Sus scrofa: one gene and its partner. The protein of the gene in region 1 interacts with the protein of each later gene in a biochemical or structural test. Links are inferred from orthologs where the notes say so. Each region holds a gene or a part of one and is shown on either strand. Other genes may lie near its edges.

What was found.
Region 2: of the proteins of ELK1 (region 1) and MAPK8, one has a biochemical effect on the other in vitro, tested with the Homo sapiens proteins (3 studies listed by BioGRID). The link is inferred for Sus scrofa from reciprocal best matches to the Homo sapiens genes ELK1 and MAPK8.

Annotation. Positions count from the first base shown.
Region 1 is NC_010461.5:42,172,044-42,176,419, forward strand, and holds the start of ELK1 (ETS domain-containing protein Elk-1), read right to left. Parts: upstream 2,922-4,376; 5' UTR 2,723-2,921; intron 1-2,722. Other genes in the region: protein UXT, read right to left, coding at 4,144-4,194. UniProt on the Homo sapiens protein: Transcription factor that binds to purine-rich DNA sequences. Forms a ternary complex with SRF and the ETS and SRF motifs of the serum response element (SRE) on the promoter region of immediate early genes such as FOS and IER2.
Region 2 is NC_010456.5:89,072,281-89,075,929, reverse strand, and holds part of MAPK8 (mitogen-activated protein kinase 8), read right to left. Parts: intron 652-3,649; coding exon 593-651; intron 508-592; coding exon 369-507; intron 1-368. UniProt on the Homo sapiens protein: Serine/threonine-protein kinase involved in various processes such as cell proliferation, differentiation, migration, transformation and programmed cell death.

The DNA of each region.
Region 1 (4,376 bases):
CGAGTGTTACCCTTGCGGGTTGTGACACCCTTCTCTCTCCGCCAACTCCGCCCCTCAACCTTGGGTGTCAGCCTGGCCTCACCATCTGATGCCCCCCCCCGCCCCCACATCTTTCTGACCTTGGCTCCCCTCTCTCCCTCCACTCTGCTCCAGCCACACTGGCCTCCTTCATGGCCCTTGAACTCGCCAGGCACAATCCTACCTCAGGGCCTTTGCACTGGCTGTTCCTTCCACCCAGTACACTCTTCCCCTAGACATTAAGGCTCCCTTCCTCAACTCCTTGGAGCCTTAATTCAAGAGTCACCTTCGAAGTGAGGCCTGCCCTGTGCCTAAGATTTCGATCATCGCGAGACGCCACTCTGACTTTCCCTACTTCCCTTGTCTAACAGACTATCTAATCTGACTTCTTTATTTATATAGTCTGTCGCCCCCACTCTGAGCAAACGTCTGCTCCCCAAAGGCACGAATTTCTGCCTAGTCTGTTCCCTCCCATATCCCCGGCGCCTAGAAGGGTCCCTGGTACTCAGTACATGCTCAGTCAGTGTTGGCCGAATGAACTTAACTAGGTCCCTTATGCCCTTTTCATCTTCATCTGCTCCCTCCCCCCACCCGGATTTGTCTGAAATGATATTCTTTTCCTCGTGCATGTGTGCCATAACATCTTAGTGAGTACCTGCTACATAGTAGGCATATTTCTGGGTGCTGGAGACTTGGGGGTAAATCTGCAGATAAAAAAACACTCCCTCAGGGAGACTCCCATTTTAATGGGCAAAGACAATAAATGTGATAAAGTGGGAAACTCTACAGCGTGTCTGGCAGAGACGGGGCCTGGGTTCTGCTCGATGTGCAGGTTCAGACAGTCAGGGACGGGCTGACATTTGAACAAAGCCCTGAAAAGAACCACGCAGAGACGGGGATAGAGTGTTCCTGGCAGAAAAAAAATAGCCAACGCAAAGGCTGGATCTCACCTGGCATGTGTGAGGATGAGTGAGGAGGTCAGTGTGACTGGAACGGAATGGGGGGGGGCTGTGTGGGTGGGTAGGAGGTAAGGCCAGAGAGCTTACTGGCAGGCATGCTCTATGCTGGAGGGGGTTCTAGCTCCGAGTCCCCCATTTTACAAATGAGGGAACAAGTGAGGACAGACCGTGGTTAAACCATTTAAGGTCGTGTAGCTGCTAGGATTGGGGGTGGATGGGTTTTGAGACAAGGTGTGGGGTGGAGACAGCTCGGCAAGCCAAGGGCACAGCAAAAACAAAAGGCTTGGAGATGGGAGTGATTTAGCTTTTAAGGAGAGAGGCCTTGGGGGGGGGGCGGGGGTAGGATGAAGAGTGAGAGGAAAGTCTCAAAAATGCTCTGAGGGGCAACCTAACCTGGTACCTATGGCATCACCTTTGAGTAAGGAATTAAACCTCCCTGTGCCAAACGTTCCTCGGTCCCTATCTCAGGGGGTGGATGAAATGAGCTAACATTAAGCATTCAGCCTGGTACCCAGTAGGAGGTCAATAACCAGTAGCGTCTATAGGCATTATCGCTACTGCTAATGTATTCATTTCCTGGAGTGAGGCGGGATGTTTTAATGGTTAACAGTGTGTAAGAGGGGGGTGTGTTCTAGAGTAAAAAAAGACCTCGGTTCAACAAGCACACAGGCTGATCCACTACTAAGAAGGAGGGAGAGTGGCAGGGAAGGCCACAGACTGACCCACCCCAAGGGCCAACCCTCCTGGAGGGACTGCATAGCACTGGACTCACACGAGGGTGTACCCAACGGGTGTAAAGGCAAGCACATGGGTGGCAGGAAGTCCAATAAACAGATCCACTGCAAAGGGGTGGGTGGGTGGGTGTGTGTGTGTGTGTATGTGTGTGTGTAAAGGCTCATCTTATTTACTAGGGGCAAGGAGAGCAGAGAAACACACTGATTCCTGCACGATAATGGAAGAGAGAAAAACCATCACACAGACTGATTATAAGGAGAAGGGGACAAGGCCAGGGACTGGGCTACTGAAATGGGGAGATATAAAGGTCTAAACTAACCCACTATTCAAAGCAAGGGAGAAGCCCAGGCACTGGAGTGACAGTCTACAAAAAAGGGAGGATAGGGTGATGGGCTGATATGCAGGGGGACATGAATACAAGCATGTAGACTGATCCACTGTAAAAATGGTGTGTGTGTGTGTGTGTGTGTGTGTGTGTGTTAAAGCCATGGATTGATGCACTGGGGGACTGGAGGCAGGAATACAAATTCACAGGTTAACTCCCTGTTAAGGGGGGGGGTACAACGCCACGGAGTGACTCACAAGGAAGAGTAGGGATGGGAAAAACAAGGCCACAGACGGGGGCCGCTGAAACTTGAGGACCTGAGAAATACAAACACTCAGACGGACCTACTGTCAAAGAGTTAGACGCTGCCAGAGAACGGCACCCTCCAAGCCGGGGTTGGGGGGCAAGACCACGGACGAGTCTACTGTAAGGGGGGGTGGGGAGAAATACAAGCACTAAGACCGATCCATTTTAAAACAGGAAGGGGGGATTAGGCCACGGTCAGATCCACTACAAGGGGCGAAGGGACGGGACGATGCCACAGGCAGGTCCACCAGCCGTGGCGGTGGCAGTGAGGAGCCGAACACCAGAAGGCCATGGGCCAAGCCACATCCCCCGGCGCGGGGGCGGGAAGGATACGTGGGGTCAGGGACCGGGCCCTCAACCCTCCAGGCCCCGGGCTCACCTGTGCGTAGCGCTGCGGTGGTGTTGGCAGCTCCGGGGGGCGGGGGCTCCATGCGCGGCCCCACCGCCCCCCAGGCCCGGGATCCGAGGCGGCGGTGGCGGCGGCGGTGGCGGCGGCGGCGGCGGCGGCAGCGGCGGCGGCGGCAGCACCTAGAAGCCGCCCCTGCGTTTCCCCACCGCTCACGTGGGCCCGTAAAGGAGGAGCTGAGCTTTCAGCCGCTCGCTGATTGGTCAAAGCGCCACGGATCGACCGCGCGGCTTCCAGGGTTGGGGAGGCGGACCCTGCCCCATAGGGCCTTGCTGGGATTGGCCCTAGGGGAACTGACGGAACGCAGCCGGCCTCCTGGGTTCCGAGGGGGCGTGCTCGGCCCCGCCGACGCTCACCGCTGATTGGCTCAGGAGAGACTGCTAGGCCGTGGGCGATTGACAAGGTTCCGGGGGTGCCTGCCTCGCAGTGATTGGCCTATATGAGATTGATGGAAGACGGCCAGCCTCCGAGGATAGAAGTGGTTAGGCTCTGCTTCCTGCTGATTGGCGGGCGATGGACGCCTAGACAGCTGCCAAAACACCAATGGGCGGTGCCGAACTCCACGCAGCCCAGCGGAAGCAGGACTTGTATAGAAGTACACAGGCTAGCAGCCCCGCTGGGAGGAGGTCTGACCAGGGATCTGCGGAGGCGGGCAGGCTAACTCTGTGGCGATTGGCTAGAAAAGACGAATTTAGAACGAAGCAGAGGAAGGAGGGCAGGACAGCTGCCAGACGTGCGAAGGAGTGTTGAGTGGTGGAAACGAAATGCCTACAAGGGCAGGGTCGAGCTGCAGCCAGTAATAAAGGGGTGGAACCTGGCTCTGTATCGATTGGCGGAAGCTGGATTCAGCCTAGAATGAGGACCGGACCAGGGAGGGCGGGCGAGATCGGCCCTGCGCCCATTGCTGGAGCTGTAACTATTTAGAAGCTGGGACAAGGCCAAGGTTGGGCCTAGACGGGCGTGGGTGTAATTTAAGTTACCTGAGGAACGATTGGAGTGTGGGAGAAGGGTAAACTTTAGGGCCAGGAGTGAAAGGTTGATTGCCTTAGGGAACAAACCGCCACCCTGAATCGGCCCGTTCTCTATGGTTAATTCAAGCAGTAGTGCACAGGAAAGGAAATAGAAAGAAGGGTCAGGTGGGGGCCCAGGTTGCCAAGGCGATGGTAGAGAGGGCAGAGCGGAAAGTCAGGTGGCACATTCTGCCAGGAAACAGGCTGGAGGCGGCACTTCAGTGGTGCTTTAAAGATTCTACACAGACTGGATCTCTGCGCCTCCCAGTAACATTGTGCTTTAGAAACGGCACTTTAGCCAACAGCAGAAGTTAATGGGGGAAAGAAGGGCCACGTGACTCAAAGACATTCAGGCTCTTTAATGTCAAGGGAGGTAGGAAGAAGTCAGTGGCGAGGCTCGGGGAAATTCTGCAGACCTTGTAGTTCTCTAAGCCCCTGAAAAAGAGAACAGAAGAGATTGAACGGAGACTGGGTCCAGGCCCCACCTCAGGCTTGCTTGGAACTCCCTTCCCTCAGAGCCAGCCTGGTTCCTGTCTGACTCATTTGGAGGGAAAGATGGCCCTTCCCATCTCTGGCTCTCTCCCTTCCTCAGGACACCACCCTAAATATTTGGAGAT
Region 2 (3,649 bases), on another chromosome or scaffold:
TGGACGGACTTGAAAATACCATGCTAAGTTAAAGAAACCAAACATAAGAGGTCAAAGAGGTCAGGTGTTATATGATTCCACTTATATGAAATATCCAGAAAAGGTAAATTCATTGACACAGAAAGCAGAATGGTAGATGACAGGGATTGGAGTAAAAGGGGAATGGGAGTGACTGCTTAATGGGTAGGCAGTTTTCGTTTGGGGAAATGCAATGAAATTATTTTGAAATTTGATACTGGTAGTAGTTGTACACTATTGTGAATGCACTAAATATCACTGAATTGTACACTTTAAGATGGTTAATTTTACATTACATGAATTTCACCTCAATGATTAAAAAGAGAATATGATTGTTTTTTTCTACTAACCCGATGAATAATTCCAGCAGAGTGAAGGTGCTTGATTCCACAAAGCATCTGATAGAGAAGGTAAGACATTCTTTCATGATCTAGTTCCATCTGAATCACTTGACAAAGATTTGCATCCATGAGCTCCATAACTATGTAACTTCATGGGTGAAAAAAGATGACAGCTAAAGTATACAGTAATAATTGAAGAGTAATATACTAAAAATTTTAATTATCATACTCACACATCTTGAAATTCTTCTAGGGATTTCTGTGGTGTGAAAACATTCAAAAGGCCAATTATCTGCAGTAAAAGCAGAGAAATGGGAAAATTAGAAATTACATTACTCAATATTTTCATTTGGGAACTGCAAATAAATGGATTTATTTATTTATTTTTATTGTTTATTTATTTATTTATTTTTTGCTTTTTAGAGTTGCGACTGCAGCATAATAAGGTTCCCAGGCTAAGGGTCCAATTGGAGCTACAGCTGCCAGCCTATGCCACAGCCATAGCAACATAGGATCTGAGCTGAATCTTCGACCTACACCACAGTTCATGGCAATGCCAGATCCGTAACCCACTGGGCGAGGTCAGGGATCAAACCGGCAACCTCATGGTTCCTAGTCGGATTTGTTTCTGCTGCACCAAAATGGAAACTCCGTGGATTTTTTTTTTCTTTTTTTTAAGCCACTCTCAAAGAGTTCTCTGGTGGCTCAGTGGGTTAAGGATGTGGTGTTGTCACTGCTGTGGTGTGGGTTCAATCCCTGGCCTGGGAACCTCCAGGTGCCATGAGTGCAGCCAAAAAAACAAACAAACAAAACACCTCTCAGTGTAAAATTTTTTCCAGACTTCTGTTCTAAGCTCAAGTAATCTCTCTTATTTTATACATTAAAACTTTATCAGGAGTTCCCACTGTAGCTCAGCGAATTACGAACCTGACTAGTATCCATGAGGACATGGGTTTGATCCCTGGCCTCACTCAGTGGGTTAAGGATCCAGCACTGCCAAAAGCCATGGTGTAGGTCACAGACAAGGCTCAAGGCCTGTGTTGCTGTGGCTGTGGCTGTGGCTGGCAACTGCAAATCTGATGTGAACTGCCCTAGCCTGGGTACTTCCATATCCTGAAAATGCGGCTCTGAAAAGCAAAACAAAACAAAAAACCCAAAGACAAACTTTATGGCCAGTGTATGGGGGCAAACAGTAGGGAAGCAGAGCAAAGAGGCTCTGTAAGGCAGTGAAAATACTCTGAATGATACTATAATGGCATACATTATGTCATTATACATCTGTCCAAACGTATAAAATGTACATCACAAGAGGGAACCCTAATGTAAACTATAGACTTCCAGTAATAAAGATATGTCAATGTAGGTCCACTAATTATAACAAATATACCATTCTGCTAGGAAATGTTAATAATCTGGGAAGCTATGCATGTGTGGGAGTAGGGGGGTATATGGGGTATCTCTGTACCTTCCTTTCAATTTTGTTGTGAATCTAAAAAAATAACCCTTAAAGATTATATCAACAGAGTATCTCAAGATCCATTCCATTAATGAACACTCAATTACCAAGGACCTACATTATATAATCCTCTACATAATTTGTAAGCAAATCTTAAACATCTTCTGTCAGCTCTTACCCAACTCCATACCTCTATATAATTGCAGTCCTTTTGCCCCTTGGTTTTTCTTAATATTACACTTTCCCAACTTTACTACTAGTCCATTAGTACATCCATAGGCATGTCCTCTCTACCACTATTCTGTCTTAATCTTTCTCCTTTATCTGTACCTTTTTCCTGGGTGGTATTATGTATATGTTCTTATCCAAACATCTCTATGGATAATTCCCAAATATGCATTAAAAGTCCCTGCTTAGCTTACGATTCTCAAATTTTCATTGCTATTCACATGACGCTTCATAAAACAATATAAAATTGAATTCATTATTGTTCCTACCCAAACCCCTTGCTTTTCCAGAGTGTCTTCTTTTACAATAGAAAGATAAAAATGACTTTTTACTTTTTTTTTCAATATTTGCACCATAATAAGTATTTAAAAGAATGCTATCCATTTTATCGTCAGTCTAAACTTCAACGTCTTCCTTCCACTCCCTGTGCTACTACACACACTGAGGATTCTAACACTGCTCATGCCATAATAACTTCTAACACTTGGTTCCCTAATGGTTTTCTGCAAGTCCAGCCACTATTTTACTGCCTCTACTATATGGTAATCAAAAGACCTGATCACATTACTTACTTTCTCAAAAACGTAATGCCAACAAAAAAATTCCGAAAGTCTCTGGCAGTACATTCAAAGCCTGCCATGACAGGACATCGACCCACTTCATCTCCTGCTAAGCCATACTAAATTAGTTTAATTTAGCCATACTAAATTAGTTTAAAGAATGTTGTTCTTTTAAAAAACTGTCAAGGCATTTAAACATACTATTCTCTATATTTGTCATTAACCTACTAACCTCTAACTACTAAACCTTCAAAACAGGCCACTTTTGTAGGGCTTGACAACCCTTAGTCCTTGACAGAGCTGAGTATTCTACTTGTCTCCACAATATCTTATGTTATAATGACATTTAACACCCTGTAGTATAGTCTTACTTCCACAACATCCTATTTCCCTTTATAATTGTGGCATATAGGAAAATACTTGACATATATTTTTGAAATGCCTATCTTTTATATTTAGGAATGGGAATGTTTTTCTCAATATAAACTTTATAAGGGCAGAATCTATGTTACTCATTTAAGCATAAAGCTTTGCTTATAGAAGCCATTCAAATATTTATTTGTTCAGTGAATAAATTCAGAAAAATAATTTTCAGATCAGAGAGTAGGAGTTCCTGTTATGGCACAGCAGAAACGAATCCAACTAGGAATCATGAGGTTGTGGGTTCAATTCCTGGCCTCACTCAGTGGATTAAGGATCCAGTGTTGCCGTGAGCTGTGATGTGGGTCGCAGACACAGCTCGGATCTGGCGTTGCTGTGGCTGTGGCGTAGGCCAGCGGCTACAGCTCCAATTGGACCCCTAGCCTAGGAACCTCCATATGCCGTGGGTGCAGTCCTAAAAAAGACAAAAGACCAAAAAAAAAAAAAAATCAGAGAGTAAAACAAATTTGTTTAAGACAGAGGAAATGATAATAAGTATCTAGTGGCTCTAAATGAATTCTTATCTCCTAAATAGAAGAATCATATATTGGACAGACTTGGAGAAACAGTAAAACTCTTCTAGTTAATATCTGGGAAATCCCAGAAGAGAAGAGATGTGCTAAAGA